Linked DNA regions of Diceros bicornis minor. The protein of the gene in region 2 interacts with the protein of the main gene of each other region in a pairwise test. Links are inferred from orthologs where the notes say so. Each region holds a gene or a part of one and is shown on either strand. Other genes may lie near its edges.

Region 1 (16,494 bases), on a different chromosome or scaffold from region 2:
AACAAGGGGCTGTGTTTTGGAAGTCACATATTGGAGAGAACATTTAAAAGTTTTTGTCGGTAATTGTGCTCCTGCTAATGGTGTTCCTCTATACCTCCTTGTACAGCGGAAGGGGCAGAGAGGTGGAGGTGCCAGTCAGGGAAACTGAGCCACTCATAACTGGAGCCAGGGGGAATATTTGTCATCCCACCTATCTGTTTTGATTAAAAAGCTGTCAATTTTCTGGGTCCTGCCCCGTGGCGTAGCGGTTAAGTGCGTGCGCTCCACTGCTGATGGCCTGGGTTCAGATCCTGGGCGCACAACGATGCACCGCTTGTCAGGCCATGCTGTGGCGGCGTCCCACATAAAGTAGAGGAAGATTGGCACAGACGTTAGCTGAGGGCCAGTCTTCCTCAGCAAAAAGAGGAGGATTGGCATGGATGTTAGCTCAGGGCTGATTTTCCTCACACACACACAAACAGTGGTCAATTTTCTAGTAATTAGTTCTAGGTACAATTTAAAAACTCATCCAAAGGGAGAAAATGCTTGGTAAATTTAAATTTATAATCATGGATTAAACTGAGCAAACTTTAATAGGATCAAGAACTTTCTCTAGTGGAAAGCAGGTTAGAAAAGTGGCTTAAAAATACTAACCATCCTTATTGTGTTAAAGAGATCATAGGATTAGTATAAAATGTTTTAAATTAAGAAATCAGATGTTATGTTAACCTTAAAATGGAACACAGACAAAATGAACAATTTTAAAAATATGGGGAATTTTAGAACATATGAAATAAAAAATGGATACAAAGCTCTATACACTATGACACAAAGATATAACATGCAAAGAATACTTGAGAAGAATACATTAACATTTAAGAGCGACTATTTCTGGGTGGTGGATTATAGATAATTTTCATTTGTTTATACTCTTCTGTATCTGTCAAGCTTTCTGCAAGTATATACTACTTTTATACTTAAAAAATTGAAATTAGGGGCAGGCCTGGTGGTATAGCAGTTAAGTTCACGCACTCCGCTTTGGTGGTATAGCAGTTAAGTTCACGCACTCCGCTTTGGCGGCCTGGGGTTCGCAGGTTCTGATCCTGGGCGTGGACCGATGCACTGCTTGTCAAACCATGCTGAGGCAGTGTCGCACATAAAGTAGAGGAAGATGGGCACGGATGTTAGCCCAGGGCCAATCTTCCTCAGCAAAAAGAGGAGGATTGGCAAGGGATGTTAGCTCAGGGCTAAACTTCCTCACCAAAAAAAAAAAAAAAATGAAATTAATGAATGCCAAATTTATTGATCAAATTCATCATTAGGTGCCATCATGATTAAGGATGACACAGATCTTTTCAGTTAAAATTATACTCTATCATTTTTCATTTGTTATATAACATTTTTTTATTAAAAAAAAAGTTTACTTCTTGTAGAGCAGGGTTGTTCCTGAAACATTTTTCTTCAAAATGTTTTTATTTTCATTAGCCAGTCCTTCATTCATCCAGGTAGTATTTATGGAGTGCCTACTCTGTGCCCAGCATTGTGCCAGGTGCTGGGGACACAGCAGTGAACAAAACGGGCATGGGCTCTCCCCTGACAAAACCCACTGAAGAGAGGGACTTGCTAAATGGATCAGCACAAAACTGTGAGACTTGGCAGGAAGAAAGAGGAGCATGCAAACATTTTTGATTATACCGAGGAGAAAGCCTGTGTGAGCTTCTGATTTTCTCCAAGTGACATATCTGAGCCTCAACTCAGATTGTCTGTGAACCTCCAGAGTGCAACAGCAGGACCACAAGTGGCAGTGAATAGAGAACGAGAGGACCTCTGCACCTGCCAGTCCTCAGAGAGTGGTCAGGCTGTGCTGGCGCACGGGAACAGGAGCTGAGTGGGCTCTGGATGCTTCAGTCATCCATCCATCCAGTCATACTTATTGAGCATCTTCAACGAGCTGAGCATTGTTTTAGGGGCAGGAGATGAATAGAACAGTGTCTCTGACCAGGGTCTCATCGTCTAGAAAGGGGGACACCAAGGAGAATAGTGATAAAAGTGAGTGTAAATCCATGAGTCCAGAGAAGGAATTTCGGAGCTTTACCTGATCATTGTTTACCTGAGTGTTATTTCAACAGAGTCTCTAGGGATAAGAAACAAGAATTTGCAAAGTAGAGAGTGAGGAGAAGAAAGGCAATCTAGCTCAAGGGAATAATATTTGCACAGATTGTTAAAGAACAAGGGAAATTCTGAGAACTGCAGGTAGCGTGTGGCTAAAACAAAGACTAAAGGTGGAGTCATGCATTTAACAAATAACCGTGGCTGAAACTGTACTAGCTGCTATGAATAAATATGAATAAGACATAGTCGATGTTTTCAAGGAAATTTGAGTCCAGTGGTAGAGACAAGTAAAAAAATTGGCAATTATGATCTAGTGTAATAAGTGTAGGAGGAATCATAAGGAAGGTCTTGGGTACCTTTCCAGGACCAAGGTAGAGGCAGAAATGGGTAGATAATTAATCATAGAGGTAAACACAGGGTTGTACAATGGGAACACAGAAAAGGGACATTGGATGTAGTTTTAAAAGATTCAAGATTTCTTACACAAATACTTTGCTCTTCAATTGTTGCTGATTTTTGGGCAATTTTTTTTTTTTTTTTGTGAGGAAGATCCACCCTGAGCTAACATCTGCCAATCCTCCTCCTTTTGCTGAGGAAGACTGGCCCTGGGCTAACATCCATGCCCATCTTCCTCCACTTTATATGGGACGCCGCCACGGCATGGCTTGCCAAGCGGTGCGTCGGTGCGCGCCCGGGATCCGAACCGGTGAACCCCGGGCCACAGCAGCAGATGTGCGCACTTACCCGCTTGCACCACCAGGCCGGCCCCGGCAATTAAATTTTAAACATTAAATTATTATAAAATAGTATATTCAAATAGTACAGCAGGGAATAAAACAACAAATCCTGATTTCATGAATATTAGTTATTCTTTAGGCATTGTCTATTTCTGTATAAATACACACACTTAAAAAATAAATGATGATGATTCTATGTATATTGTTTTGTCACATACTTTTATCTCTTAACAAAACATATTGAACATCTTTCCATGTCAGTATATATTGGTCTACCTTATTCTTTTTTAATAGCTGTACAGTATTCTGTTATATGGATGTACCTGAATTTTTTAACCAGCACTCGGTTGGTAGACATTTAGGTTATTTGGTTTTCACTATTATAAATAAGTTCGAAATGAACACCTTTGTTTATACATCATTGTATACTTGGGCTAACATTATTTTGGAGCAAGTTACTTAATCTCTTTGTGGTTAATACCTATAAAATCATTGAGAGAATTATCAAACTTTAATTAAAACTTCTTGTATAGAGCCTGACTAAAAAAATGTTCTCTTAAACTACTGTAATGTGATGTTCATTAATAAATTAAAATAAATCTATTATGTGATAAATTCTTTGTTTAGATTTCACTAAATTAATAAAATAAAATAATGAAAAACATGTTACTGGTTGGAGACAAGTTCTTGTATTTAATTTTTTTTTTTGTGAGGAAGATCAGCCCTGAGCTAACATCCGTGCTAATCCTCCTCTTTTTGCTGAGGAAGACCGGCTCTGAGCCAACATCTATTGCCAATCCTCCTTTTTTTCCCCCAAAGCCCCAGTAGATAGTTGTATGTCATAGTTGCACATCCTTCTAGTTGCTGTATGTGGGACGTGGCCTCAGCATAGCCAGAGAAGTGGTGCGACGGTGTGTGCCCAGGGTACCAACCCAGGCCGCCAGTACCTGTGCGCGCGAACTTAACCGCTAAGCCACAGGGCCGGCTCTGTATTTAATTTTTTAATTAGGTTTTTTTTTAATGATTAGAAAAGTTACCTAGGCCCTTAACAGGTATAAGGAATAAAATAAACATCCTCTATTATTCTGCCACCTAAAAAGAAGCATTGTTAACATTTCTGTGTCTATTCCGTCAGAATTTGTCCTTTGATATATACTTTTTTATTTGACAAAAAGTGGGACATTATACAGACAACTTTGTAACTCACCTCATTTTTCTTAATGGTATGTTGTGAACATCTTTTCATATGATCATTATTTTTACAAAGAAGCCATTTTTAATGGCTTCACATTCCACCTATGGATGTACCATAATTTACTCAATGTCTTTATTTATAGGCATTTAGATTGTTTCCAATTTTTTTGTAGTTATAAGCAATTTATCAATGAATATCTTTATAAATTGTTGGTTACCTTTCCTATTATCTTACTAAAATAAATTCTAAGACATAGAATAGCCAGGCAAAGGGTATCTTATTTTAAGGCTTTTCTAAACAAAAGCCATATTACCTTTCAGAAAGGCTGTACAGATTTTGATTCTTGATATGGCTAATGCAAATGTCTATTCCTTATGCCTTCATCTAGGTTTTATTCTTTCTAAATCTTTGCCAATCTGTTAGGTAAAAAGTGATATCTCACTGTTAGTTTTATTTCCATTTTTTTCTAATTTCTCGTGAGGTAGAACATCTTTTCAAATCATTACTGATACATACATGACTAGCTTGTTCATGCCCTTTGACTTGTTAAGAGTTGGTATGGTTATCTTCTCCTTAAGGATTTGGGAGAGCTCTTGCTACACTTATTATGTAAATCAAACATTATTAGATACTAAGGATAGTAACCGAGCATATATAATTAAATAACCTGTTTGTCATACATTACAATTGTTTCTCCATTTCACTATTTGTTTTTCAACTTTATAAAGTCTTTTGCCATATGAAAGGCACAATTTAAATTATCAATATTTTCAAATTATCAATATTTTCTTTGTTTTTTGAACTGACATCATGTTTAGAAATAGAAGCAGGTCCTGTCCCAATACATAAGTTGCTTATGGATGCAACTTAAGTCTGGTACAGCCGAGTTGTGGCACCCAACTTCCATGTTGTGTAACCTTAAGCATGTTACTTAACCTGAACCAGTTTCCTCATCTGCAAAGCGACATAAATAGCACCCACTTCAGCCGCTGATATAAGGGTTAAATGCCTGACACAGACAAGGCATCCAGCAAGTGTTAATTCCTTTTCTTTGTACTCAGCGAGGCATTATTAACGGCCAAATGTCCATCTTCCCTATGAAGACTAAAATAAAAGACTGGGAGGTGTAATTTTTGGTGCGTTTACATTTAAACATTCTTTCAGGGAGCTTTTAGAAGCAGCTCATTAAACTACAAACCCCATAATGCATATAAAAGAACCATAAAGTTTCTGTGTAGGAAGCCGTTGTCGCTTGGAGGGAGGGCAAAGAGCCAAGTACTTTTTATTCTCTGGATTTTCCCTCCTTAAGACACCCTCCCCCCACATTCCCCCTCAGCACATAAGGTTGCTTTTTTTCTTCCTGGAAGGCTCATTTCCTAGGTTTCAAAGTAAGCCTTCAGTTATAAGGCGAAAAGGTATCGAAATTAGAGAACTGTGACTACCACAAAATTCATTAGAATAAATCTCATGGGCTGTGTAGGACCGAGACACTGTTGAAATAACTCTCACCTATCGTGGATTTAGTAGAAAGAAAAATGATAATTAGCACGACTATATCCAGTAGCCATTTTTACCCTTTGAGAATCTGGGCTTAGTTCCCCATGAGCGAACCTCGCACGCTCAGCCACTGCCTGCCGTATACATTATTTAGGACGGACACAGTCTCGTATTTGCATACGACGGCGGATCCATTGCTTCAGGGCGTCCAATTAGCCCTGCGCCGACACAGCCGTAGCTCCGCCCGCGCACGGCTGTGTACAGCCGAGCATGTGATCTCCCATCCGCCCAGGCCCGAGCGCCCTACGCGGCGAGTGGCGCGCGCCGCGGCCCTTTCCAGCTTCCAGCCGGGGAAGACGCCGCCGCGCGCGCCACTCAGCCCGCGCTGCCGCCTCCAGGAGCAACATTCCCTTCTCGCCCTCCCGGCGGCCCCACCAGCCCAGGTTCCGGGACGGCCCGGCGCGGTGGGGGGGCGGGGGGAGAAGGGGGCTCCTCAGGGAGCAGCGGGGAATTCCCCCTTCCACCGAACGTTCCCGATTGTTCGGCGTCCTCACGTCAGCAGCAGGGGGTAATCCCCGACTCCAGCTGCTCCTGACGTCACCGCGCGGCGCCACCGCCCCCCGCGCGCCCCTGCGTATGGGGCCTCCTCGAAGCCCCGCCCCAAGGCATAGCCACGCCCTCTTCCCTTCCCCCAGACGCCCGACGTAGAGGGCGGAGCTTCCTTGGCCGAGGCGTGAGCGGTTGCTTGGGCCAGAAGGTTCTCTGGTAGAGGCGCTCCTGCTGCCCCGCCCAGTAGGTTCGTTCGCAGCGCTTTTTCCACACCCTTTCTCCCTCCTTCTCGTCGCCCCGCCTTTCCCCTCCCTTCTCCTCAACCCCTCTAGTTCCTTCCCCGCCTCGCCACCTTCCACGATCTCGCGAGACTTGGCTCAGAACATTGCGGATCGGGTCGGCGCCATTTTGGGACTGAGACTGGTTGTGGGGGAGGGAAAAGCGGCAAAAGGGGATTATTCAAAGTACCGAAAACCTCCTCCTGTGATCGAGCGCAGTGGCACCCCCAGGCCAGGGGCACCTCTGGTGTGGCAGAAGGTAACACCGGCCTCTGTGCTCCGCGCCAGAGTCTGGGGGAGGAGGGGGGTGCCCGTGTCGGCGTGGGGGTTTGAGGGGTCGGGAGCGGCGTTGGCGGCGCGAGGTGTGAAGCTGCCTGCGGACCGGGGGGGGGGGGGCGGAGAGCAAGGCGAGAGCTAGAAGGACGGCGCGGGGAGGCCCCTCTGGGTATTGACTCGGCCCCGGTGCAGCGGAGGTGGCGGTTGTGGGGAGGGGGTGCGTGGCTTCGCCTTGGCGGCCGGGGGGAGGTGTTTGGCGGAGGCTGGGAGCGGGTCCGACGCTCTCGGGGCTCGCTCTTCCTTCCTCCGGCCTCTCGCGCACACCCGCCTCCTTTTGCACCACTGCCTCTCAGAGGGCTGAGGGAGTCGAGGCCGAGTTGTGGCCTTCGGTGGTTTCTTGAGCAGCGCGCCCGCTCTCCCCGCCTCTCCCAGGTCCGTGGCACTAGCTGTGGACTGAGTCGAGTGCTACCTTGTCCCTCCGAGCCCTTTGGGGTCTCAGGAGACCCGTTCTGTTTGGGGAGAGAACCCCACTTACGTGGTTTACGCAAGGGCTCTATACCTTCCACCCCCTCAGTGTCGGGAGAAACCTGTTTTCTTGATTCAAGGAAATGGGAACCGACAGCTTTATCCCACTGCTGCCGTCGGAAGCCGGGGAAGTCTCACCCTGTGGTGAATTTAAGGAATGTTCTCGCCCCACTTCTCTTCCCCCTCCTTTTCTACCCTTAGTGGGGAAAATGTGCCTCTTTTACACCTTCTGATTTGGAGAGAGCGTCTTCTCTATATTCCTCGTTCTCTAAGTTGCATATACTAATGCTTAGTGGCACCACACCTGTCTGTTCTTTTTCCTTTGGTACATCGAGTGGAAAATAGAGATCTGTTGTAAGATTGTATGCCAGCTTCATAGTTTTAATATTTATTCAAAAAGTATGGGAAGGTTTGCTTATGTAATCTTCAGTGTTATCTCCGCACCCCCTTCCCAGTTGAAATCAGTATTTGCCCTCCATAACATCATCTCCCACCTTTTTTTCTCTCTGTTCTTAAGTCGTTTTCATACGGTGGACTTTTTTGGGGTGTTTGCTTGGGCATAGCCTTTTTCTAGACCCCAGTAGAATTGTATAGAATTTCTCTCCAGAGGTTGACTCTTTAAGATGGGGTTTAATGTTTAGCTCAAAATTAAAACTCAGTATGTAATTTAAGTTCTTTTTTTTTTTTTTTTTATAACTTTTACAGGTGATTGAATTACTCAGATATGAAGATCATCTTCTAGGTTTTGTGTAAAAGGCCCCGGATATTTCAAGTGGCCATTTTGGAATTACAATGTTTTTGGATAATTTTGCCCCAGAAGTTTATTAAAATTGGCAAGAATCATCTCTGAAGTGAATTGATAGTAGTGAACAATTCTGCAAGCTACTTAAAAAGAGATCCAGGCATTTCTTCAGTATTTTGGTTCAAACGGATTATATAACTGGTTAAAGTGTTTCAGCTGGTGGTATTTTTGCCTTTCCCCCCAACCCTCTCCCCTGTTGTTGGTGTTCTTCAGCCAAAACTGTAAGATATGTTTGATTTGTGTACTGAGTAGTTTCGGCAGTTTCAGATTACTCTTTAAATATTGCTGAAGTTTCATGGCAGTTTATTTTTACCTTTATTAAAAGTTTTAGGAATTTTTGACCTCATCCGTTTTCATGTCACAATGGGACAGCTTTTCTAAATGAAGACATTGAAAGAATAGAGTTTTTTTCCTTTTATCTTTTATTTACGGGGAAATTTAAGATGTTGCAGTTTCCCAGCAGCATGGTAGTATTGAGATAGCTATGTGTCTCTGTATATGCTGATTAGGAATGCTCTTCAGATGTGAAATTTTCTTTTTGTTTTTGCTTTTTGGCTCATAAATTGGATATTTCGTCTGGAGTGGATAAGTACAACAGTGACCAGTACATGGAATAATAAAGAAGACTTTATAATCTTAAATCCAAGGAACTTGGCTAATTCTGGAGATAGCCATATGAAAACTTGAAAACAAGTATGGGTAGCTGACTTGAAGTAACTCTATGTCAAATAGTCATAGGTTAAGTATCTTCAAAGAACTTGGATATTATTTCAGAGGATACAAAATAAAAAAACAAACTGGAAAACGTAAAGATTACGGAGAAAAACCCAACACCTTCCTGTGCAGTCCTGTTGGAATTTGTAAGTACTATATGGTGAGCAAATCAAATGTTCATTTGTAAACTGTAATGAGAGTCAAGTTTATCCTATTTTATTATTGGAAACCTTTCAGTTTCTTGCAGTAATATTGCTTGGTTTCAGTTTCCTGGACAGTCTGAAAACAACTATTAAAGTAAATTGAAATGCAGAAGGAGTTAAGGTTTAAGAATATTTCAGATCAAAGAGTCTGAATTTAAGTGTTTGTGCTTCTGAAGTAAAAAGCAAAATCCATATGGTCGGTGTTCACCTTAGGCTTAATGGGGATTGCTAGAAAGGTAGGAAAAAACCCAACAAATATTTCATGTGTCTCAATAGCCAGTTTATTTGCTAAATGTGAGTTTAGACTGCATTCTAAATGTGGTTTGTGTTCCAATTTAGAGTTAAATATTTGTTTAAAACAAATTATGATACAGGGCTTGATTTTTAATCTGATATTTCATGAAGTAGCTTGTTTTAAGGCATAACTGTTCCTAACATTTTAATCCATTATAGAAATTAAGTTTTTGAAACAATTTGTTGAAGTGGTTTTGCATTTCAAATTATTCCTTAAGATCTCAGTTCAAAAGTCACATCATTACTAGGAACAGAAACTGAGAGGAACCGAGCAAGATGCTTTAAGAACCTTTAAAATAACTTAAAAAATGAGTATAGTTTTTTTCTCTTAGGAAGGTTGTGCTGGCTTAAGTTTATAAAGAAAACTTTTTAAAAAAAATTGTGAATATTGTTGTGATGGAAACCCTTTTGACAAGTGAGAGAATTACATTTTAATAATATTTGTATTTTTCAGGATTGATGGTGTGTTTAATTACCATTAGTTGCTACATTTAGTTTTTCAGTCAATCATAGGCATTCATTAGGAGTGTTTATTTTTAAGAAATTTACTAAAATTTATTTTTTAAGCCATTAATATTAGTGGGCAGATCAATGTAGCTGAAATTAGAGTTTATTTCATTTAATTATCTTTCTGAGATAAAAGATTGTAATTTTTGAACGCTTTGCCAAGATGGCCTAATAACTTGTCAGTGGCTCATTGGCTTCGAAACAGAACTTTTTTTGCTATGCTATTGAATCCTCTTAGCTCACTTAGAGCAGAAGAGGTAGTAGAGTCCAAAAGAATGTAGGTATTTAGATATGCATATATAGCATTTATTTTCTGACCTAAATTGAGATTCGAGTTTAATAGTTTTTTTCTTAGAATAGACTAGGTTATTTGTGTTTTCTCTGTCAGACCTTTGTGTAGTATTTGTAATTGAATTTCCACCTTGATTTATATAAAAATGTGGCGAGAACATTCTCCCTCTCTTTGCTTCTGAGAGCCTGTATTTTTGTGCATTCTTCAATTTAGTGGCTTTTCAAGTTACTCTTCGAGCATTTTCTAAGAATATGCATCTTAAAAGTGACCAAGAAGTTGAAATGAATGACCTTTATTCGTAGAAAAGAACCATGTAACATATTTTATTTGTGATTATTTTCTTTTAAATTGCTTCTGTTGATGTTGTTACCCAAGCAGTAGTATCAGGATAGAGCTTACTCCAGCGACTAGGGATCTTAACAATTAACTTTAATCCTTGAATAGTCTGGCATTTGTGAACTTTGTTTACAGCAATTGTTCAAGGACAAATTTACTTACTTGAACATGTTGATAAATATTTTATTTTATTGGCATTGAAATATATAGTACCAAAAGTAATTGGAACAGTTGCTGGGCTGCTGCTTTTCCCTCCATAAGTACTTCTTTTTCTCCTATCTCCCTTATTCTCATTTTTTTCTTCTTTTTTCCTCCTATGCCTGAACTATAGGTGTAAAAATAATAATCATAATGACTAATATTTATTGATGATGATTGTGTCATGTATTTTGCTGTGTGCTTTACATAGTATATCTCAATTCTTAGAATAATCCTATGAGGAAAGCACTAATAGTTACAGTGGTATAGGTGAGAAAATTTAAGATTTAGGGAGACTGAGACTGGGAGAAAGGTAACTTAGGACCAAGGTTATGTTGGAGTCTTGGCCAAATCTCCAAGTCTGACTTGAGAGCCCCATGCTCTTAATCAATATGCCATACTTAAACTGTCTTCTTGTGGATTATACTTTAACTGATTTATTTTAGAATTATTCTTGATATTTTTCTATTTCTTTTCATGTACTACTTCTCTTTGGTTAATATTGATCATTAGTGGAGTTTGGAGACAAGCTGAAAGACGAGAAACTACTGTCAGTTTTGCTATTTGTTAGTAGCTATTTGAATAACTTTGGTTAGCTAAAAATTAAAATGTGGTTTCAGGTAATACTCAGATCTCATTCACCCACAGCCTCTTTGTATGGGTATGAAGCTAAATGCATGTTAGCTTTGTATTACTTTTTCTCTGTTTTTAAACTGAGATTACTACATGGAATTTTGTGCTTAAAGCTGCTGACACTTTAGAATTGAGGAAGGGAGGAATAATAGGGAAATACAGGAAAGGGAAATAATAGGGAAAGAACAGGAGTGAGCAAAAGAGAAGAAAGTAAAATTTAGAGATTTACAAGAGAAGGGAATAAGGATGGCAACCTCTACTCTGAAAGTAAAGTTAATAAGTGAGGACCGAACCTAAACCCAGGCCAGATTATTTAATTGTCTTTGACCCAATTACCTTTTCTGTTTAATTTTTGATAAGAATGTTTAGATAACAATTTAGGTCCAGGTAAGGGTAGTGATGTAGAAAAAAAATAATGGGAGTTAGGAGATTTTTGGTTTCGAGTTTGGAATATTGGAAAAGAGCCTATGTGGCTTTATAAATTCATCTGACCTCTTTTGACTTTAGTTTCTTCATAAAACTGATGGAAATAATGTGTATGAAGGCTTTTTGTTAATTGTAAAGTATAATATAGATGTGAAGTTTTATTCTAATTACAATTTTCTAAGATTCTGTGTAATACATTTTACGTATCAAACAAATATTTATCATATAGTCTTTGAAATTATTTATTCTATCTCTTGTTTCTGTTAATGGCGTCAGTTGCATCACATTCATGCCCTGTGTTCCCATTTCCAGTTTCATTTATTAATCCTAGCTTGGTCCTTGACTAAGAAGTAACTTACTAACTCATCTCTTTGCCTTCAGTTCCGTTCTCTTCTCCCCATAGTCTCTCCTGTGGCCAGAGAAATCTACCTAAAGTACGGCTCTTGGTTTTGTTACTTAAGCAGCCCTTAGGGTCTTGTATTTGGTATTTTCAGGGAGGGTAGGTTGGAAAGAGATGTGTCGTTCCCCTCCCCCCGCACCCCCTATTTAATGGTTTATACGTTAAGGGGTTCCTAACATGAATTCTTTTTTGGCTGCATAGGTGGGCGTGGGAGACAGTGGTTTGAGAATTTTCCAAAGTTAATAATTTTGGGGATGCTTATATGTATTTTTCTGGGGAGCAGGTCTGTTGCTTTCAACAGGACCCTCACGAGAAACAAAATGTTAGCATTACTGATAAACCTTTTGTGGTTGGGTCTCTTTTTCAGTTTTACCTGCTTGCTTTTTCCCTTTTTGTCAGTTGCTCCACCCAGCAGAATAGTTACAGGCTTTTGCTCTATATCCCTTCAAGTAATTGCTAGTTTCTGCATCTTTCTGTACACGATATCCCACTCAGTTTCTTGTTCTTGAGTCATCTTTCTGTTCACAGTTTGATGAGTGCAATGTTTTTGGTCTTTCATTTTCTGCCCTTTAATTCAGTTTTCAGATTACATTTTTTAAAACCATATTTAAAAGTTTTTTCCATTCATTTTTTTTGTTTTTAGTAAGAACAAGAGTTTTAAAATCTTGGTTAAGTAGGTTGTGTTTCCTTTGCAACTCAGAACTTGTATAAATATATATATATTTTTTTTTTGTGAGGAAGATCAGCCCTGTGCTAACATCTGCCAATCCTCTTCTTTTTTTGCTGAGGAAGACTGGTCCTGGGCTAACATCCGTGCCCATCTTTCTCCACTTTATAAGGGATGCCACCACAGCATGACTTGCAAAGTGGTGCGTCGGTGTGCGCCCAGGATCCGAACTGGCGAACCCCGGGCTGCCGCAGCAGAGTGCGCACACTGTACCACTTGCGCCGCTGGGCTGGCCCCTGTAAATATATTTTTAAAAACTCTTAAACTGAAAAATTGTCAAGAATAGTTATCTTTATCTTTACATATGCGTACTAGTAAAAGACGTTAGTTTGGTTTTCAGTGAACGTAAATATACTTTTAATGACTTTTTAACAAAGTAATAAATATTTATTATCTCACATGGTTTCTGTGGGTCAGAAATTTGGGAGCAGTTTAGCTGAGTGGTTCTGGCTCCTTCCAGGTCTTTCTTAAAATTTCAGTTAAGGTGTTGACCAGGGCTGCAGTCGTTTGAAGACTGGAAGGCTGGAAGATCTCCTTCCAAGATGGTATTGGGCTTGCAGGTTGATGCTGGCTGTCGTCTGGGGGACTCAGTTCCTTACCATATGTGGACCACTCCATGGAGGTGCTGCTTGAATTTCTTTGCAACATGGCAGCTGCATCTGCCAGAGCAAGTGATCTGAGAAGAGAGAGGTAGAAGTGTAGTGCCTTTTATGACCTTTTTCAGAAATCAGTTCTGCCACATTCTTTTCTTAGAATTCTAGCCTGCAGTCAAGGGGAGAGGTGTTAGGCTCCCCCTTTTGTCAAAAGAATTTGTGGACATATTTAAAAACCGCAGTAGGAGGTAATCCTTCGCAATCAGTAGTCGTCAACATAATTAGCCAAAGTCTTCACCCCAGAAATAGGAGGTTGGGCTATTATAATTTTAGAGAAGAGAGTATTTCTAAATTTATATGAATTTAGGAGATTTAAATCTTTTTACTTTTCTAGCCCTTATGAGATAGGAAGGTAAGGTTTTTTTTTTTTTTTCCCCTTTTGCATTAATCTCCCAATCAGCGTAATGAGGGAGCTCTTTTTTTAATTGTGGTAAAATGAACATAAAACTTATTATTTTAGCCATTTTTGAGTGTACAGTTGAGTGGCATTGAGTAAATTCACCTTGTTGTGCAACCATCACCACCATCCATCTCCGGAACTTTTTTTATCTTCCCAAGCTGAATCTCCGTGTAACCATTAAACATTAACTCCCCATTTTGTCCTCTCCCCATCCCCTGGCAATCACCATTCTACTTTCTATTTCTGTGAATTTGACTACCCTAGGTACCTCATATAAGTGAAATCGTGCAGTATTTGTCCTTTTGTGACTGGCTATTACCAAAAACACAGAGAATAGCAAGTGTTGGAAAGAATGTGGAGAAATTGGACTCCTTGTGTGCTGCATTTTATTTTATCACTGTATTTTATCACTGCATATGCATTTTACTTAGCATAATGATAAATATTGGTTATTAAAATCCACTCATGATAAGTGTTGATATCCACAACATGTGAAGAACTATGACTCAACAACAAAAACAGTCTGAGTAAAAAATGGGCAAAGGACTTAAATAGACATTTATCTATTATGCATATTTATCACTGCATATGCATTTTACTTAGCATAATGTCCTTGAGGTTTACCAAGTTGTAGCATGTGTCAGAATCAGCATTTCCTTCTTTTTAAGACAGAATAATATTCCATTGTATATACCACATTTTGCTTATCCATTTATCCCTTGATGGACATTGGGTTGCTTCCACCTTTTGGCTATTGTGAATAATGCTGCTGTGAACATGGGTGTACAGATATGTTTGAATCCCTTTGTTTAATTCCAGAAGTGGAATTGTTGGATCATGTGGTAATTCTATTTTTAATTCTTTGAGGAACCTCCCTACTGTTTTCTGTAGTGGCTACACCATTTTTTATCCTCATCAGCAGTGCACAAGGATTCCAGTTTCTCCACAGCCCTTCCAACATTTGTTATTTTCTGTGTTTTTGGTAATAGCCATCCTAATGGGTATGAAGTGGTATCTCATTGTGGTTTTGATTTGCATTTCCCTAATAATTAGTCATGTGATTAGTAATGTCTTCTTATGTTTATTGGTCATTTGTATATCTTCTTTGGAGAAATGTCTAAGTCCTTTGCCCATTTTTTAATCAGATTGTTTTTGTTGTTGAGTCATAGGAGTTCTTTATATATTCTGGATATCAACACTTATCATAATGAGTGGATTTTAATAATATTTATCAATGCTTTCCATGTTCCAGACAGTGTTCTAAGCCTTTTATTAACTGGTTTAATCCTCATAGAGATTGTATGTGGGAAGGTCCTATTGTTGTCCTCATTTTACAGATGTGAAAATGAAGGCACAGAGATTTTAAGTCGCTTGCCAAAGTCACACAACCAGTAAGTGGTATTTCTGAACCTGTACGTTCTTTATCCAGAACTTAGGCTTCCTTGCTATATATGTATTATGTCAATTCCCCAGAACAGTAGTTCATAAATACAAATGATAGCATTTGACTTTTTCTTTCTATTTTATTTTAAAACCTGATTGACATCTTCTTTTGTTTTCTAAAATCCTTTGTAGGAAATTTGGATTAAAAAGGGGGAAATTGTTTTTATAGGCATGATAATGGACAAATGGTTTTATGGGCAAAATAATGCCATCTTGAATTCATAGAACAATCTTCTTTTGAGTGGCTTGAAATGTTAGACATTATCTAATTTATACTTGAACATACTTGGAAAATAAATGACAACATTTCTGTATTGGAAATGAGAAAGGAGGATACAGTCGGATCAACTTATTTGCTGTAAAACATTGACTTAACGGTGGATGTGGGGTTATCATCTCTTGAGTGCTAGTCTGTGCTAGAGAAGTTCATTGCCTCAGCAGATGTTTAAGTGCTTACCATGTGCCTGCACTTTCATTGGTGCTGTGCATTTAGTAGCAAACAAGGCAAAAATGTAAGATTCCTGAACTGTAGTTTGTCTGCTCTGAAGTTCGGTGAATACGGAGTAAATAGAGTCCTTAAATTTGAATCATGGTGTCATCTCATCTAGTAAATAATAGCTATTTTATGTTGGCCAAGCCAGCCTTTATAAGACTCTTATTCCTGCTTAATAAAACTGCTTCTTTTCCTACTTCACAAGGTTATCATTAGAATCAAGTGAAATAATGAATGCTAAATGCTTTGAAGTTGTAAAATGATACAAACGTTGTTAGTAGTATTGTTATGCTGCGTCACGTAGATAGTAGTGGTTGATGACCATATGATCAACCAGGAGGGAGACATTGTGGATTAGGGAACATAGGTAATGTAAATTGAAGGGACAGAACTGAGCAGAAACCAGGTATATTTAGATTGCATTTTATGACATGTTTAAAATTGTTGAAACATAATGCATTACAGTCTTCTGAGGTAATATTTGTGTAATCTGCAATATGGTACAGTATAGTTTTAAACGGCATCTTTATGCAAATAATCTCAAATTTAAATCTCCAGTCCAGATCTCTTCCTCATATTCTGCTCTTGTAATTTAGCTACCTTCTTGACTTCTCCACTTAGTTTACAAATTTAACATGTCCAAAACTGCACTCTTCTGAGTCTTTCCCAGCCCCATACTTTCTCCATTCTTTCCTAACTCAATAAATGGCTACACTATTCACATATTCAAACTGAAAAACCTGGGAGTCATCTTTGATTCCTTCTTTTCCTCCCAGTTAATAATTAGCAAATCTATTTGCTCTACCTCAGATCTCCCCAATATGT
Region 2 (15,463 bases):
CCGTCTTCACCTCCCCTGCCCCCAGCCGCAAGGAAGAAGCTGTGCGTGAGCTGAAGGACGCGTCCCCGCTGGCCATCAGCATCGCCCTAGGCCAGCCCATCCCCCTGCCCCGCCCCCCTCCTTGCCAGCAGCCCCTCAGAAGAGGTAGGTGGGGGCCCTCCCGCTCCCCCCCCCGCCTTCATCCTGCCCCAGCCCCGCCCTGCACTGGTGCTCAGGGAGGCCTGGCCCCTTCCTCAGGGACCCCCCACCGGTTCCTGGAGCGGCAGACCTTCGACATCCCCGGAAGCCGCCACAAGCTGAACCCCAGCCAGAATGGGGCCGTCAGGGAGGCTCTGAAGAAGCAGTTCACAGTCATCCAGGGCCCACCAGGTGGGCCCACGTTGGGGGAGATGCATGCTGCCGGGGCAGGTGGGCGGGGCTCCGTTCACCCCATTCTCTGCCCGCAGGCACGGGGAAGACGGTGGTGGCTCTCCACATTGTGTTCTGGCTTCACAAGGCAAATGAGGAGCAGGCGCCAGCCTGTGGTGGGGAGAAGCGGCTGGGGGGCCCCTGCATCCTGTACTGCGGCCCCTCCAACAAGTCGGTGGACGTCCTGGCAGGTGTGCTTGGCCGGCCACTCGAGGCTCTGCCTGGGGCTGGTGGGCCCAGGGGACAGTCACTCACGCCCCAACTGCCCCCAGGGATGCTCCTGAGCAGGAAAGAAGAGCTGCAGCCCCTTCGCGTGTACGGCGAGCAGGCCGAGGCCACCGAGTTCCCAGTGCCGGGTGTGGGCAGCAGGGGTCCACCTAAGAATACCCCTCGGGAGGGGAGGCCGAACCAGACTCTCAGGTGTGTCTCTCCTCTTCACTGTCTGTCTGTCTGTGTTTGGGTGGAGAGGAGGGGCCTGATGGTCCTGCCTTGGGACAACACAGGGCTTCATGGAGGTGTCCCCCCCAGGAGCATCACCCTGCACCACCGGATCCGGCAGCCTTCCAACCCCTATGCCCCAGACCTCAAGGCGTTCGACGCCCGGCTGCAGAAAGGGGAACTGTTCTCCAAGGACGACCTCAGTTGGTAAGGGGCTGGGGCCGTGGAGCTGTCTCCTGGCGAGGGGTCCTTGGGTGACCAGACGGCATCCCCACACAGGTACAGGAGGGTCCTGGGCAAGGCGAGGAGGTTCGAGCTGGACCGGCACAGGGTCATCCTGTGCACGTGCTCCTGTGCAGCTTCGGTCGCCCTCAAGAGCCTGGACGTCCGGCAGATCCTCGTGGACGAGGCGGGCATGGCCACAGAGCCCGAGACCCTCATCCCCCTGGTGAACTTCTTGACGGCTGAGAAGGTGAGCGAGGCGGGTGGTGAGCTGGTGACCTGGGCGGGGGTCACTGGGTGTGGCCTCCCCCTGGGAGTGCATGGAGGGCAGCGTTGTGGCGGGGCAGTGACGATGGCGGGGCTGGGTGCCCCTGGTCTGAGGGTAGCAGGACCACGCTGGCCTGTCCCCCCAGGTGGTTCTTCTTGGGGACCATAAACAGCTGCGGCCTGTGGTCAAGAATGAGCAGCTGCAGAACCTGGGTCTGGACCGGTCTCTCTTCGAGAGGTACCACAGAGATGCCTACATGCTGGATACGCAGTACCGCATGGTAAGCAGTCCCGGCCTCAGCTCCTTCGGCCAAGGTGTGGTCTGTGGCCCACTCCCCTACCTCCTACGTCCACCCGGGCCTTGTCCTGGGGCCAGAGCAGCTGCCAGTGGGAGCTCTTGGCCCGAGGGCGCGTGGGTGGGTGGCCTGCCCCCGCTCATGTCCCTGTCCTGCAGCACAAGGACATCTGTACCTTCCCCTCCATGGAGTTCTACAAGAGCAAGCTGAAGACCTGGCAGGGCCTGAGGAGGTCGCCCAGCATCCTGGGCCATGCCGGCAAGGAGAGCTGCTCTGTCATCTTTGGCCACATGCAGGGCCATGAGCAGAGCCTGCTGGTGTCCACGGACGAAGGGAATGAGAACTCCAAGGCCAACCAGGAGGAGGTGGCAGAGGTGGTGAGTGTTAGCAAGGCGCTCTCTGGTGCCTTTTGGTCAAGGAGGGCTTCCTGGGGGAGGAGGCAGAGGAGACGAGGGAACAGGTGAGGCCCTGGTGCCCAGGGACCTGGTTTCAGCTGCACCCCCTCGGTCCCTCAGGTTCGCATCGCCAAACAGCTGACCTTGGGCAGGACAGTGGAACCCAAGGACATCGCCATCCTCACGCCCTACAATGCACAGGCCACAGAGATCAGCAAGAGCCTCGTGCAAGAGGGCATCACGGGAGTGACCGTGTGCTCCATCACCAAGAGCCAGGGTGAGGCTGGGGACAGGGGGCACGTGGGCCGGTGGGCAGGGGGCATGGTGAGCACAGCGGGCAGGGGCGTCACCATGCCTGCCCGGCCCCCCAGGGAGCGAGTGGCGCTATGTGCTGGTGAGCACCGTCCGCACGTGCCCAGAGAGTGACCTGGACCAGCGGCCGACTAAGGGCTGGCTTAAGAAGTTCCTGGGCTTCGTGGTGGACCCCAACCAAGTGAATGTAGCCATCACCCGGGCCCAGGAGGGCCTCTGCATCATCGGTGAGGCTTCCTGGTGGGCGAGGGCTGGGGTGGGCTCCTCCCTAGGGGCGGGGCTGCCTGGTAGGGGAGGGCTGGGGTGGGCTCCTTCCTGGGGGCGGGGCTGCCTGGTAGGGGAGGGCTGGGGTGGGCTCCTCCCTGGGGGCGGGGCTTCTTGGTGGGCGAGGGCTGTAGGCGACCACTGACTCCTGCCCCTGGCAGGAGACCACCTCCTTCTGCAGTGCTGCCCTCTCTGGCGTCGACTCCTGGACTTCTGTGAGGCCCAGCAGAGCCTTGTGCCCGCCGGCCAGGTGCGGGTCCGGAGGAGACCAGCCATGTCCTTCTGAAGATCCCTACCTGCCTGCTGCCCTCAAGCTGCCAGGATTGTGAAGAAACGCCCCAGGCCCTCCTGGGCTGGCCAGCCTGGTGGGCCCCACTCAGCGGAATCCCATGTGCCTTAGTGGTCACTGCCAGCCACCATCTGGCCACCTGCGCCTGGCTGCCTGGGCAGGGGTCTCGGCGGCCGGCCGTGGTGGTGCACAATAACCAAGTTCCTGAGTCCTGGCTTCTCCCCAGGGGGGAGCAGGCCAGGCAGCACCCTGCCGTTGTACATAACCTTGGAGGAGACCCCACGCTCCCTGCTGAGCTGATTTTGCTGGGACACTTGGTGACAGGGAGCATTTTAGGGGTGGGGGCATCCTCTGGACCAGCACAACACCTTCCCTGGGAAGGTTTGGGGTCAGGAAGGAAATCCCCTTGGGGCTACTCGTTGGTCTTTGCATACCATCCCCAACTGCAGTGGGTTTGGTCAGGAATTCAGCTTTATTTTCTATTTTTAAATAAACCAAAAACCAGTGTCTTTTTTACTGGAACAAGGTCCTCAGCCCAAACTCAGGGCAAAGAGGCCTCCCTGGGAGAGAGCCTTTTCTCTGTCACCACTGCCCCGTCTAACTGGGACCCACAGCCTGTGTCCTTCAGGGACCACTGCCCCGGCAGGGGAAGGGCAGACCCGAAGCAGAGGCCCACCAGCCTTGCCTGGACCTGCCCCTCCGGAACGTGCTGGGTGGTGCAGTACTCCTGCGGGCGTGTGGGTGGGGGCCCCTGGACGGCGTCTGTGCTTCCACCCTGAGCTCTGCATCTGCCTTGTTCACTCAGGCCTGCTCCCAGGTCAGGGCCTTTGGAACACCCTGCCCAGGCGTGTCTTTCTTTGCAGGGTTGAGGACCTTCACCTGCCCCTCAGGGCGCATTTGTGTCCTACCGTCTCTGGAAACCTGTCCCCTCGATGTCTGTCCCCACCCCACCTACCCTGAGGCAGCTCTGACTCTGGAAAACAGAGCCCTTGACTCAGTGCCATTCCACTGTCCTTGTGGCTTTGAGTTGCTGCAAAGAAGTCGTTAACGCCAGGAGGGGCTTGCCCCACCTGTGGCCCCCTCTGTGAGGGGTGAGGGGGTGTCTATGTATCTGTCTGATTCTGATGTTTTCTACAAATCAAATTTCTACATTCCAATTTTTGTATCTTTTCTTGGACTATGTTATATGATCGAATATTAATTTTATTATAAAGACCACTCTGAATGCTTTTCTCACTTCTGGGTGTTTTGAGGTCTGACTGGATTGCAAAAAGGGGTGGTCCCTCCTCTTGCTTTGGGTTGCAAAGTGGCTGTTGAGGCTATCAAGAGCCAAGAGCCCAGAGCCCATCGTAGCTGGATGCTGGACGAGGGAGCACGTGGAGAGGGGCCCGCGTCATCCATTTTACAGCTGACGACACAGCCAACAGGCCGAGGGTTGTCTGTGCCCAGATAAAGGAAGCTGGGGGTTGGGGGCAACTTGGCAAGGAAGGTCCACAGTGGGTGAGCTGTGCCCAGGTGCTGCAGGCCACTCAGCCCACTGAACTCTGACCTCAGGCTCCAAAGTCTCCAGGCTGAGGCCTTGACAGCATCCTGCGAGGTCTCTGCTCTGAAATTACTCCCCAGGACCCTTGCGCAGCACACAGCCCTCCAGGCCGACCTGGGCTAGTCAGAATTCAGCCTGTTTGTGGCTGGTTCTCCAGAGCCTCCAACAGCACCAGCTGTCCAGAGGGAGGCACGGCAGGCCCCTGGCCTCCCTAAGTGCCAGCACAGGTGTCAGGTGGGTTGGGAGCTCACAGAGAGACAGACAGAAGTTGTAAGGAAAGGGGCCTGTGCACCCCGCGTGCGCAGCACCTGGGAGAGCACGTCTATTCTAGGGCAGCCACGAAAGCGTGGAGAAATTTTACCATATCTGGCGAAAAGCGCTTGAATAGAAGACTAGCAGGCGCCCGGAGGCAGGGAGCCGGGACCTCATCAGCCTAGTCAGGAAGGACTTCCGGAGGAAGGGGCGTTGAAGCCCTGAGGACGCGCGGCGGCGGCGGGAAGCCGGGCTGGACTGCGGTCGCACAGCTGCGCGCAGAAGTGGCACGAGGCGGGCCGCTGGCAGAGGGCTAGGCCTCGTCGCAATGAGGGTCGCAATTTTAAGTCAGTCCGTGTGCGAGGGGCGGGGCGCGGCAGGTGAGCTGCGGCGGGTGAGGGGCGGGACCAAATCTGCGCCCCCGCCTCAAGGGCCGCACCGGGAGGGCGCCGCGGAGTGGCTCACAGCCGGGGAGCTGCAGCGGTGCCGCCGCGAGGCCGGTCTCTGGGCAGTTGTCCTCCGAGTAGGGGCGCGAGGCCAGGCTGGGGGCGGGAGGAGCAAGGAGGGAAGAAGTCCCCCAGCCCGTGCACCCACATGTGCCTCCCTTGGTGAACCCGCACTCCATGCTGTCCTCTGTGGGTGGGATCTGTATGACCCAGCACAAACCCCGATCCTGGATCCCCTGGCAGCTCCCGCCCATCCCCTCCACAGCCCTCTCTGCTCTGCACCACACCCCACTCCTCTAGTCGTTCCCTAAGAAGGTGATGACTCTGCCTGGGACCCCTGGGAGGGCTCCATCCTGCCAGACATCCAGGAGGCAGGCTCAGCCACATGGTGCCACAGAGTGTGTGACACAGTCTGGCCTCACCCCTGGATGGCACGCAGGAGCACACAGTGGGTCAGCGGTGGGAGAGGCCTGGGAGGGGAGCCCCTACCCAGGCTGAGCCCACCCCAACCCTGCAGAGCACACTGTCCCTAGCTGGGGGAGGGGCTGGGCCTTTCTGACAGAGTTGGGGACCCCTCTCTCACCAGGCCACTTCTCCATCAGTTCTCCCGGCTCCAGATCACCCTGCCCTGCCATGCCTTATCTTCTCAGAGGGCCGGCGGTCCTAGTGACCACCATGGGGTGCGTGTGGTGGTGGACGGGGAGCTGGTCACCAGTGCCAGTGGGGGGTGGCGCTGGGCTGAGTCAGGAAAACACTCATGTGGCTGTTGCCACCTTTAAGACGTAAGTAGGTTCATTTCTCAAATTGTGTATGTGAGTTTATACTCCTCTGTATTAGTGGATAAATAGCAGGAAATCATCTCTCGGAAGGTGTGGTCGGGGGTGGGCCTGGCCTGCCCAGCCGACTTGGGGTGGGCCCCTTGGTGGGCCCCGGCCGGGTCTGCAGGGTGAGGCTGTCCCGCCAGGGCTCGTACACCAGCGTGTAGCTCTCTGCTCTCTTGACCGTGAACTTGTAGGCGCGGTTGGGCAGCAGGTTGCGGATGTCGAAGGTGCAGGCAGCCACGGGGATGAGGCCACACTGCGTGCACTCCTGCTGCGTCCGCGGATCCAGCAGCTTGAAGCGCAGCTCAAACTGCTCTGGCGCCGCAGGCTGGATGGTGACAAACCAGCGCAAGCTGACCCAGTCCTGGTAGGCCACCGACTCCTTGCGGTCGAACATGACGGGCATCTTGGTGCTCAGCATGAGGCGGATGTGCGGGATCTTGGTGGCGCCAATGTCGGACACCAGACGGTGCTTGAGGTGCAGGCACCCGGGCACCATCATGGCCAGGAAGCTGTCCATGACGGCCGACAGCTCTGCCAGTCGCCGCTCCACCAGTCCCCAGCCTGTCAGGAAGGGCTGCGGGTCGGGCGACTCGAGCAGGGCGTCCAGCTCGGCGCGGCCGCAGTCCAGCTGCTCCAGCAGGTGCCCCAGCAGCAGGAGCTGGATCTTGGTCTGGGCGGTGCCCACCTTCTTCATGCGCTGGAACTTCCAGGGGTCGATGAGCTGGAACATGGCGCTGGGCAGCACCAGCGGGTTCTGGTCGCCCAGGGCCAGCTGCTTGGGGAGGATCTCGACGTAGTAGGAGCACTTCCTGAGCAGCTCCACGCGGGCATGGTGGCGCCGGAGCAGGTGGGGGCTCAGGTCCGAGCTCAGGAACTCCCGCAGCGCGTTGCGGCGTTCCACGTAGGTCCTCCACGCCTGCGGGTCCAGCAGCTGCCCGTCCTCAGCCTCCTCCGCCTCCTCTTGGTCCAGGGGGGACTGCGGACTGTCCAGCTTCATCCTGTCGAGGCCCAGGCCCGTCACCTGGGAGCTCATCGTCTGGGGCGGGGCGGAGGGCACGGCGTGAGCTGCAACAGTCAGGCCGGCCTCGGCACCCTCCCAGGACTCACGTGGAGCAGTGTTTGTGTGGGGGTGACTGCCCCAACACAGGGCCCTCTGTCCTCCCTGGGCGAGGAGGAGCTTGTGGGGGGTGCACCTCTCTCTGGGAAGGGGCTGCAGATCTGGACAGAGTGGACACTGAAGGGCAAACACTCTACTGACTGCTGCTTGTGATGACACAGGCAGGGCTGAGACAGTGGCTCTGGGACCAGAATGGCCTGGGCAGAAACCCCAGCCACTGACCAGCTGGGTGGCCCGGCAAGACCTCAGTTCCTCGTCTGAAATGGGGTGACCATATTCCCTTGGGGCTGTTGAGAGGATTCAGTGTGACCCTGCTGAGCAGCACTAGTCCCCTTGGGGGGGACCCTCCACGCCCCACCGCAGGTGCAAAGCAGAGGGCAGGGCTCACCCAAAGACAAGGCCAGTTGGTGGCCTGGGCCAGAGCAGAAGGCAGGGTGGCCCCAGGCCTCAGCTCTGAGGAATAATCATGCCAGCTCCTAGTGACTGAGCCCCTGCTGTGTGCTGGGGGCCTCAAGGGCCTTGATGAGCTCACTGAGTCCACAAGAAAATCCTCATGAAGTGGTAAGATTCTGTCACTCCGCGTCACAGATGGGCGCCGGGCTACAACGCTTGGCAGCTTGCTCTTAATCCAGGGTTTGAGCCCAGCCATCAACCCCAGAGCCTGACTCTCCTGCACCCCACCTCCCAACCAGGGGTTCCCAGCTCTGCGTGTCAGTGGGAGCGGGCTAGTGCACCCCAGCTGTGGTCCCAAGCCCAGCAGAGGCAGGCCACAAGGCCTGGCCCTGGAAGCTGGGGCTCCTTGGAGAAGGGGCCATCATCCCTGGCTGCTGTCCCAGGTCTCAGCCACCCAGAAGGAGGTGGGACAGACCCTGGTGCTGGTGGGACATCCCCAGCAACCCAAGGGCTGGATGAATGACAGATGACAGCTGAGAGCTTGAGTGACTTGCCCAAGGCTGCACTGCCACGTGGCAGAGTAAGGTTGGGACCCAAGTCTGCCTCCCTCCCCAAAGGCCAGCCTCTGACCTTCCTGGCGCAGAGGAGCCAGACCAGCCCCTGGCACAGCAGAGAGGATATCTGGGGTGAGGCACAAGCAGAGACCAGGACCCCAGGACTCCTAGCCTAAGTCCTGCTCTGGCCGGAGGCGGGGGCAGATTCAAACCGCCTCCGGAGGGAACTCTTGCTCCTGGGGCTGGCCACGGGTCAGGGATGTTTCCAGCCGCCAACAGTCTCCCAAGTTGGAAAACCGCAGAGGGGCTGGTCGTGAACTCCGGGGAAGGGGCCGCTCCGCTCCCTGGCGGCCCTACCCAGACCTACACCCCCTAGCCCCGCCCAGGCCTTCCCCTCACCCCCAGGCCCACCTCCCTGAGACCCGCCCCCTTCCCCGCCCGCCTCCCCGGGCCCGCGCCCGGCCTGCCGCGCGCGCTTGCCTTGCCTCGCGGAGCGGGCGGAGCCGTGCGGCCACTGTGCGCAGAGCCGCGGGCGCCCAGGCTCGCGCCGCGACCTCCAGCGGGTTGCCACGGGGACCGCGGGCCTTTGTGACGCCCTGCGGGGCCCGGGGGTGGGGGTGTGGGGAGACCCCGCCCGTCGGACCCCCTCGACTGGAGGGGTTGTGGGAAGGCGGCGTGGGCGCGCTCTCCGGTTCCAGGACCCCGCCGGAAGGAACCGCTCGTCTCAGCCGAGTCCTCGGCCCCGGACCCCGGACCCCAGGCTCAGCTTGGACGGAACCGTCTGGAGGCTTCGCCCCGCGCCCTGACCTGGGAACCACCGCAGGTGGCGGGTCCGAAAGCCAGGCTCGAAGTAGGGTTCCGCCGAGAGGCGTAGACAGGCCGCCGCCCTCTGCGCGGGGGACCCTGTCCCGGGGTCGTTCTGTGGCCACAGCGCTCCCTCGGCGGGGACTTATGGGCTCGGTTACCGGGAAGGGGCTCCTGCTCCAACCTCCGCCCGAGCGCCGCCCCGGGAACCCCACGGAGGACCCGGGGAGAGAGGCTGTGACTGCGAGAACTGGCAGGTGGGTGCGGCTCGTCGCCCCAGCGGACGGCAGAGCAGGGAGAGGAGTGGCCTCCTCTGCCCCCGCAGGCTTCCTCTGCCCAGGCGGAGGCCACTAATCTGGGTCTGGACCAGTGGGGTCTCCACAGCTCCAGGGAGCCCCTCGGAGGAGTTCTCAGCCCCTTGAGGCCCAATGGTAACTCAGCCCCTTGAGGCCCAATGGTAACCCCCAGCTGGGACATCTGGGCGCTCTCTACCAGTCTGGGGTGTCCCACTGTTATGAGAGGTTCGGGGATTCGATCGGAGACGTAGAGAAACTTTCCACTCCAAACAAATGGACTGAAGGTACATTTTATTATATAGAGGATAGTAAAGGCGATAGTCCGCAAACAGATCCGAATAGGTCAAATAATAAGAGGGAAAAGACACCAGCTCGACTGGAAAGGGAAAACATCCACATCGGCTGAGACAGCAGCAGATCTGAATAGGTCATATAATAAGAGGGAAAAACATCAGATCCATCGGAAAGGGAAACACCAGATCCACTGAAGGGAAATGACACAAATCGACTGGAAAGAGAAACACCAGGTTGACCGAAAAGAGAACACATCAGATCAATTACTTCACAGTAAATCAATTACTCACAACATCCACTCCCCACTGCCGGGAGAGTCCTGTCAATCGACACGGCTGGGCGGGAATCACACGTCCTGGGCAGGGCGTCCCTTCCACAGGTGGAACTCTCACCGGGTCTCAGTCCCAGCAGTTTATATAAGCAGTTACAGAGTTTACAGAGCAAGCATCCAGTGTTCCCATGCACAAATGGTTATCAGTGGTGTACGTGCACTGAGCCCCTTGGCTAACGTCCCAGCCCAGTAATTGTGTACGTGCATTGTTCTCTTTGGTTATCACCTTAGACGGGCACAGATGGCCAGTCCATCCCGTGCTACGTCGCTCCGAGAGCCTTGAAATGTTACAACTTGCAACTCTCTCCGTGGGAGAAGGGCCAGTTCCCACCACGCAGAAAGCAGCTTTTATATTTCTTTTTGTGCTGGTGGCTGTAGGTCAATGGAGCGGCCAAACATGGCTGTGCTCATGTCAAGACACCCACCGGCAGTGGTCAGTCTCAGACAGCCCAAGGCACTCCTTGCTCCACCTGGGGACGCTCCTTGCCACCCTCGTCTCCGCCCCTCAGAGGTCGTGGTGGGGCCCCTTCCAGTGTACTTGTCTGTCCCTGAGCTCCCCTCCCAGTCTGTTCTGTGGCCAGAGGCTCCCCCACTGCACTCCCGCCCCTCCGGGTGACTCCACCCCTGATTCGGCATCCATCAGCCTGTCCTCAGGTCCAGGCCTGGGTGTGGAGGACCCTGGAGGCGGGGCCTGGGGAGCTGGCGGTGGCCAGTCTGCCCTCCTCTCCCTGAGGGGCTATAACTCAGTGAAGGCTGGCTGTTGTCAGGGTTGTTATTGAGGGGTTTGAGGGACAAGAGCTGGATTATTTGGAAAGGGGGGTGCTATCTGAAGGTGGAAGGGGGAGGCTGGCACCTGGAAAGGGGGGAGACGATGGAAAGCAGCAGGAGGCAACCCCCAGCCTTGCAGCCCACCCACAGGGGGAGTGGGGTAGAGCAGCCCTCCCCTCCTCTTCTGATCCAAGCTGTCCTGGACCTCTGCCATCTCTTTGGGCCCACCCTCTTTTTTTTTCCTATTTCTCATTCCTCGCTAATTTTTTAAAATTAAACTTGTAATTTTGAGATAACTGTAGATTCACATGCAGTTGTAAGAAATAACACAGAGATGCCATGTGCCGGTCACCCAGTTTCCTCCAGTGGAAACACCTTGCAGAACTGAGGACAAGATCACACCAGGACAGTGACCTCAACACATCCCCATGGGACCCCTATGTTGCCTTTCCTAGCCACACCCACTTCTCTCCCGCCCCCAGCCCCTCCTTAGCCACTGGCGAGCCCTAATCTCTTCTCCATCTCTGTAATGGTGCCCTCTTAAGAATCCCGTGTAAATGGAGCCATACGGGTGCAGCCTTTGGGAACTGGCTCCTTTGCTCTTAGGCTGTGCATCACTAGTCTTTCCTTTCATCTATTAAAAGAGAAAATTCAAATGGGGCCTGCTGGTGGCGTAGTGGTTAAGTTCGCACGCTCTGCTTCAGCAGCCTGGGGTTTGCAGTTTCAGATCCTGGACGTAGACCTATGCACTGCTTATCTAGCCATGCTGTGGCAGGCGCCCCACATATAAAGTAGAGGAAGATGGGCACCGAAGTTAGCCCTGTGCCAATCATCCTCAGGAAAAAAAAAAAATTAATGGACTAAATTCGAAGATCTAATCGGCTTTATGAATCAGCCGGCATCGCATCTTGCAAGCAGAGATGCTCCAGGGGTTACACGACATGGAAGCCTTCTCTAGTAAGAAGGGCAGGACAAGGAAAAGAAGTCAGCAGCAAGGAAAAAATGGAAGCTCACTGGAGGAAACGAAAAATTCAGGTGATGACAGCCCGGCGGCTTCTCATTGGCTGAGCTGCAGCATTTCCCATTGGCTGAGCTGTGGCGTGTCTGATTGGCTGAGCTGCAGCATTTCCCACTGGCTGAGCTGCGGCGTGTCTGATTGGCTGAGCTGCGGCATTTCCCATTGGCTGAGCTGCGGCATGTCTGATTGGCTGAGCTGCAGCATTTCCTATTGGCCACACTTGTTGCTGGGCAAGAAGGAGAGCTTTTTCCCCCTGCAAGCGCTTCCCGTTTGCAAGTACAAGGTCTCTCTTCCTGTCCGGGTCTGTAATTGACGCCCCACTGTTTGGGGCAGTTGACCGCAGTGTGAGAGCTCCGCTACAGGCCTTCCCGACTTAGTGCTAACATCGCCGAGACGTTCTGTTTTCTGTCTTGTCCGATCCTGTCTGCAGCCACCAGGCTGTGCTGTCCCTTAGTGGGCCCAGCGGTGCTGCGCCCTGAGGCTGGTGAGCCTGCTGGTCGTGAGGTCACAGCCGTGGGGGAGGGGGTGCCCCACGACCATGGAGCCCCCAAACTGTGCCCTCCAGACACATGACCCCAGGGGTGGTGGTGCCGGGCTGCCAGCCTCAGCCTGAATGCCTGGGAAGCCGCCTCCTTGGCCCAGGCGACCTGGCCCAAAGCCTCACTGTGCCCCTGCAGGCTCAGTGCTCTTACAGCCGGGGGATCCAGGCAGATGCGGTCAGCACCTTCCCGAGGGCATATGGCCAGTGAGCCTGAGAGCAGGAGTCCAACTCCGTCATCTGACCTGTGGAAGTTAAGAAAGAAACCTGGGCTAAGTCGGAGTGGGGGAGGCCTGCAGGGGGAGCTCTCACCCCTCTCTTGTCCTCAATTACTCCAAACAGGAGACAGACTTGATCTCCAACAGGAAGTACAACTACTTTACTGGAAGGAAGATTTCTCTCCCCACCCAGCAACAGCCCAGCCAATCAGACACAACGCAGCTCAGCCAATGAGAAACGCCGCAGCTCAGCCAATCAGACATGCTGGAGCTCAGCCAATCAGACAGGCTGCAGCCCAGCCCATCAGGCAGGCTGCAGCTCAGCCAATGAGAAGCCATTGCTGCCCTGATCTGTCACTCTCTCCCAATGGACTTTCCTTCAGAACAGCCCCCCCCCCTTTCTCTATAAAAGCAGCTCCCTCTTTTCTTTTGGGGATTTGCTTATGGTTCACTGTATCGTGGGCATCCTGAATTGCAATTCTTTTGCCTATTTCTGAATAAACACATTCTGAGATAAAATAACAGGCAAATTTGCTTTTTAAGTGGACAGACCCCATCCAGAGCTGTCCTTCTCCGGGGGTCCTCCCCCTCACTCACACACCCTGGAACATTTCCCCTCACCCCCACCCCCTCCAGCATGGACTCAGTGCCTAGGGCCCATGGAGGAGGTGAGGCTAATAGGGGTGAGTGGCAAAGTCAGAGGAGGGGCTGTCCTGGGGGCGGGGCAAGAGTCACGTGGCTGGAAGCTGGTGTGTCAGGTGGATGAGGTGAAGAAGGGGACAGTGTGGGCCAGATCCTGCAGGTCAAGGAAACATGAATCACAGTGCAGGCAGCTGGGCCTGCAGGGGCCGAGGACTCAGAGAGCCGACGACTGGAGGGACAAAACCAGCTCTTGCCGCCCCCAGTAACCAACACCAGGTGTGTGCGGTGCAAGGACAACAGGGGAAAGTTGAATGAGGAGAGGTGACCTGGGGGTTTGTGGGGTGGAGGGGGACAGAGGAGGGCCCAGGCAGGGCGGTGGCCGAGTGTGGGGTGCTCCCTGCAGAGCCTTCTGCACTGGGCAGATGAGGAGGAGCATCTCTCCCTCTGGGGCCTTCTTTGGACTCTCTGTCCTGGTCACCCGGAGATGGGCCAGGCGTTCTTTGTGAGCTGGGTCCCCACTGCCCAGCACAGGTTCCTGCTAGAAAATGTCCCTGCTGTGACCGCGAGGAGCGATAGACAGAACTCTGTTTCCTCATCTGGAGGAGGAGGAAGACCCCGCCTGGCCGGGGTCTTTGTCTGTAGCAGTGGCAGGGTGGGCAGCCCTCTGTGCTCTGTCCACTGATTCACTCTCTGGGCTTTTCTTTAGGCTGACAGGAGGCCTGGGGGCCAGTCCGGGGGACCGAGGAGGGTCCCTCCCTGCCTGCCCTGACTGCCAGAGGGAATGTGCTGAGTCCCAGAGACCGAGACCCTGTGGCTTTGAGGGACCAAGAGTGTCCAGGAGGAACCTGCGTCCAGTGCTCTGAGTGCTTGGCCCTGAGGGTGGTCCACACAAGTGGGACCCTGCCACACCCCAAGGAGGCCTCTTTGTGGCCGTGTGGGTCGGAGATGCCTAGCCTGCTTCCTAGGAGAAGCTGCGTAGGTTTTGAGGATGTAAGGAAACTGGTGTGCAAAAGCCCAGACTTACACACACGGGAGGAGCAGGAGGTGGTGTGGAAGCCTCAGGGCCCTTCCAGGGCCTCCCCTCATGTATTTATAAATATCTTCTGCGCAATACTGCCTCCCAACAGGGTGAGTCTCAATTCCATGCAGCCTGCCCCCTGGGGGCCCTGCTCCCTCCAGGCTATGGGGGCCCCAGAGAGCTGCGCAGCTCCCTGTGTTCCTCCAAAAGACACCCGATGTGTATCGTTGCCACATTACAGTTTGTAAATCGTACGGGCAGTGTACGCAGGTGTGTGCCCCAGGAAGCCCCGGGGTGCGTTTCAGAGAAGTGACCTGCTGCAGCTCTAGGGCAGGTGGATGGGCGTGTGGCTTCCCGCCAGTGGACAGTCAGCACACCTGTTGGTCGGGCCTGTTGAACCACAGAACCCGAATATTCGGGCGTTGAGCCAGTGTGGGGTCTGGAAGGAGGTTTGCGGCTGTCCTGAAAGGATGTGGGCTCAATAAAGGTGCTAAGGGGGCTGGGCTGGGGGAGGCCAGTTGGGGGAGAAAGAGACTGCAGGCTGCCTGGTCTGGGGTCCCACCCACCAGCAGACCCCGCCCTAGGGGCCCGCCCAGAACGAGGGGGGCTGCAGTTTGCGCTCCCCACCCAGCCGGAAGCAGAGGCGACCTGGGCAGCCGGCAGAGTTTGCTTCAGTGTCAGGGGGGCCTGGCGCTGTCCAGGGAGAGAACAAGGAGGGGTCGCCCTGGGCCGGTCTCGCCGCCCCTTCCCTGCCACTGGCACCCGGTTCATATCCCTGAGCCGGGGGTCTGATGTCAGTGCCGCGTCCTCCCTGAGGTGGCTGTTGGGTGTCCGTGGCCCCAGTGGCCCAGAAATCATATCACTTCGTCGTCGGCGCATCTGTCCAGCGCTCCCTGTGCTCGCTGAGCCCCCGCAATCGCCGCCAGCCCCCCGCTTGCCTCAGGCGGCCGAAGTCGCACAGGCAGCGGTGGGGGGCTGTGCTGCCCCGGCGGCCCCCCCCCCCCCTGGCTCGGAGCCCTCGCTGCAGAGGCTGCCAGCCGGCGCGTCTGGCTCCGCGCTGCGCAGCGTTCGTGTGATGTTAACAGATTTGGCCGCCGTTGGAAGAAGCAGGCAGTTTCCACACAAATCCAGCTCACTGCCGGGCGACGGTGCTCGTGCCCCTCATGGAGCCCACTTCTCTGAGGGCGGAGCTCAGGGCCTGGCGGGCGTGTGGGGCACCAGCGCGCCACCCCTTCTCCCGTCGTCACCCTTGCTGCCTGGCGGGGCCACGCCCCTCCGGCCTGGGCCTGGGCGGGGAGACGGACGGAGGGAGGGAGGGGCTGCCCTGCCCGGAGGCCCCGCCCCCCACGGCCCCCCCGCGGCCGGCCCCCCAGGCCCCGCCCCGGCTCTGAGCAGTCGGGACAAGTCCTGCCCACTAGACGCCCTAGAGGTCGAGGAGAGGAACTGCCGTGGGTGGCGGGGGCTGGAGGGCCACCTTGCGCCCCACCTGGTCTGCATCCCCGCCCGTGTTCGGTGG

What was found.
Region 1: the proteins of FNDC11 (region 2) and GPBP1 interact in binary tests that used the Homo sapiens proteins (3 or more experiments, as listed by UniProt). The link is inferred for Diceros bicornis minor from reciprocal best matches to the Homo sapiens genes FNDC11 and GPBP1.

Annotation. Positions count from the first base shown.
Region 1 is NC_080759.1:18,843,616-18,860,109, reverse strand, and holds the start of GPBP1 (vasculin), read left to right. Parts: upstream 1-6,096; 5' UTR 6,097-6,316; intron 6,317-6,347; exon of another isoform or gene 6,348-6,606; intron 6,607-7,853; 5' UTR 7,854-8,810; exon of another isoform or gene 8,811-8,824; intron 8,825-16,494. UniProt on the Homo sapiens protein: Functions as a GC-rich promoter-specific transactivating transcription factor.
Region 2 is NC_080758.1:641,471-656,933, forward strand, and holds FNDC11 (fibronectin type III domain-containing protein 11), read right to left. Parts: upstream 7,023-15,463; 5' UTR 6,990-7,022; coding exon 5,988-6,989; downstream 1-5,987. Other genes in the region: HELZ2 (helicase with zinc finger domain 2), read left to right, coding at 26-369, 447-599, 681-828, 937-1,053, 1,126-1,318, 1,482-1,616, 1,790-2,008, 2,147-2,303 and 2 more.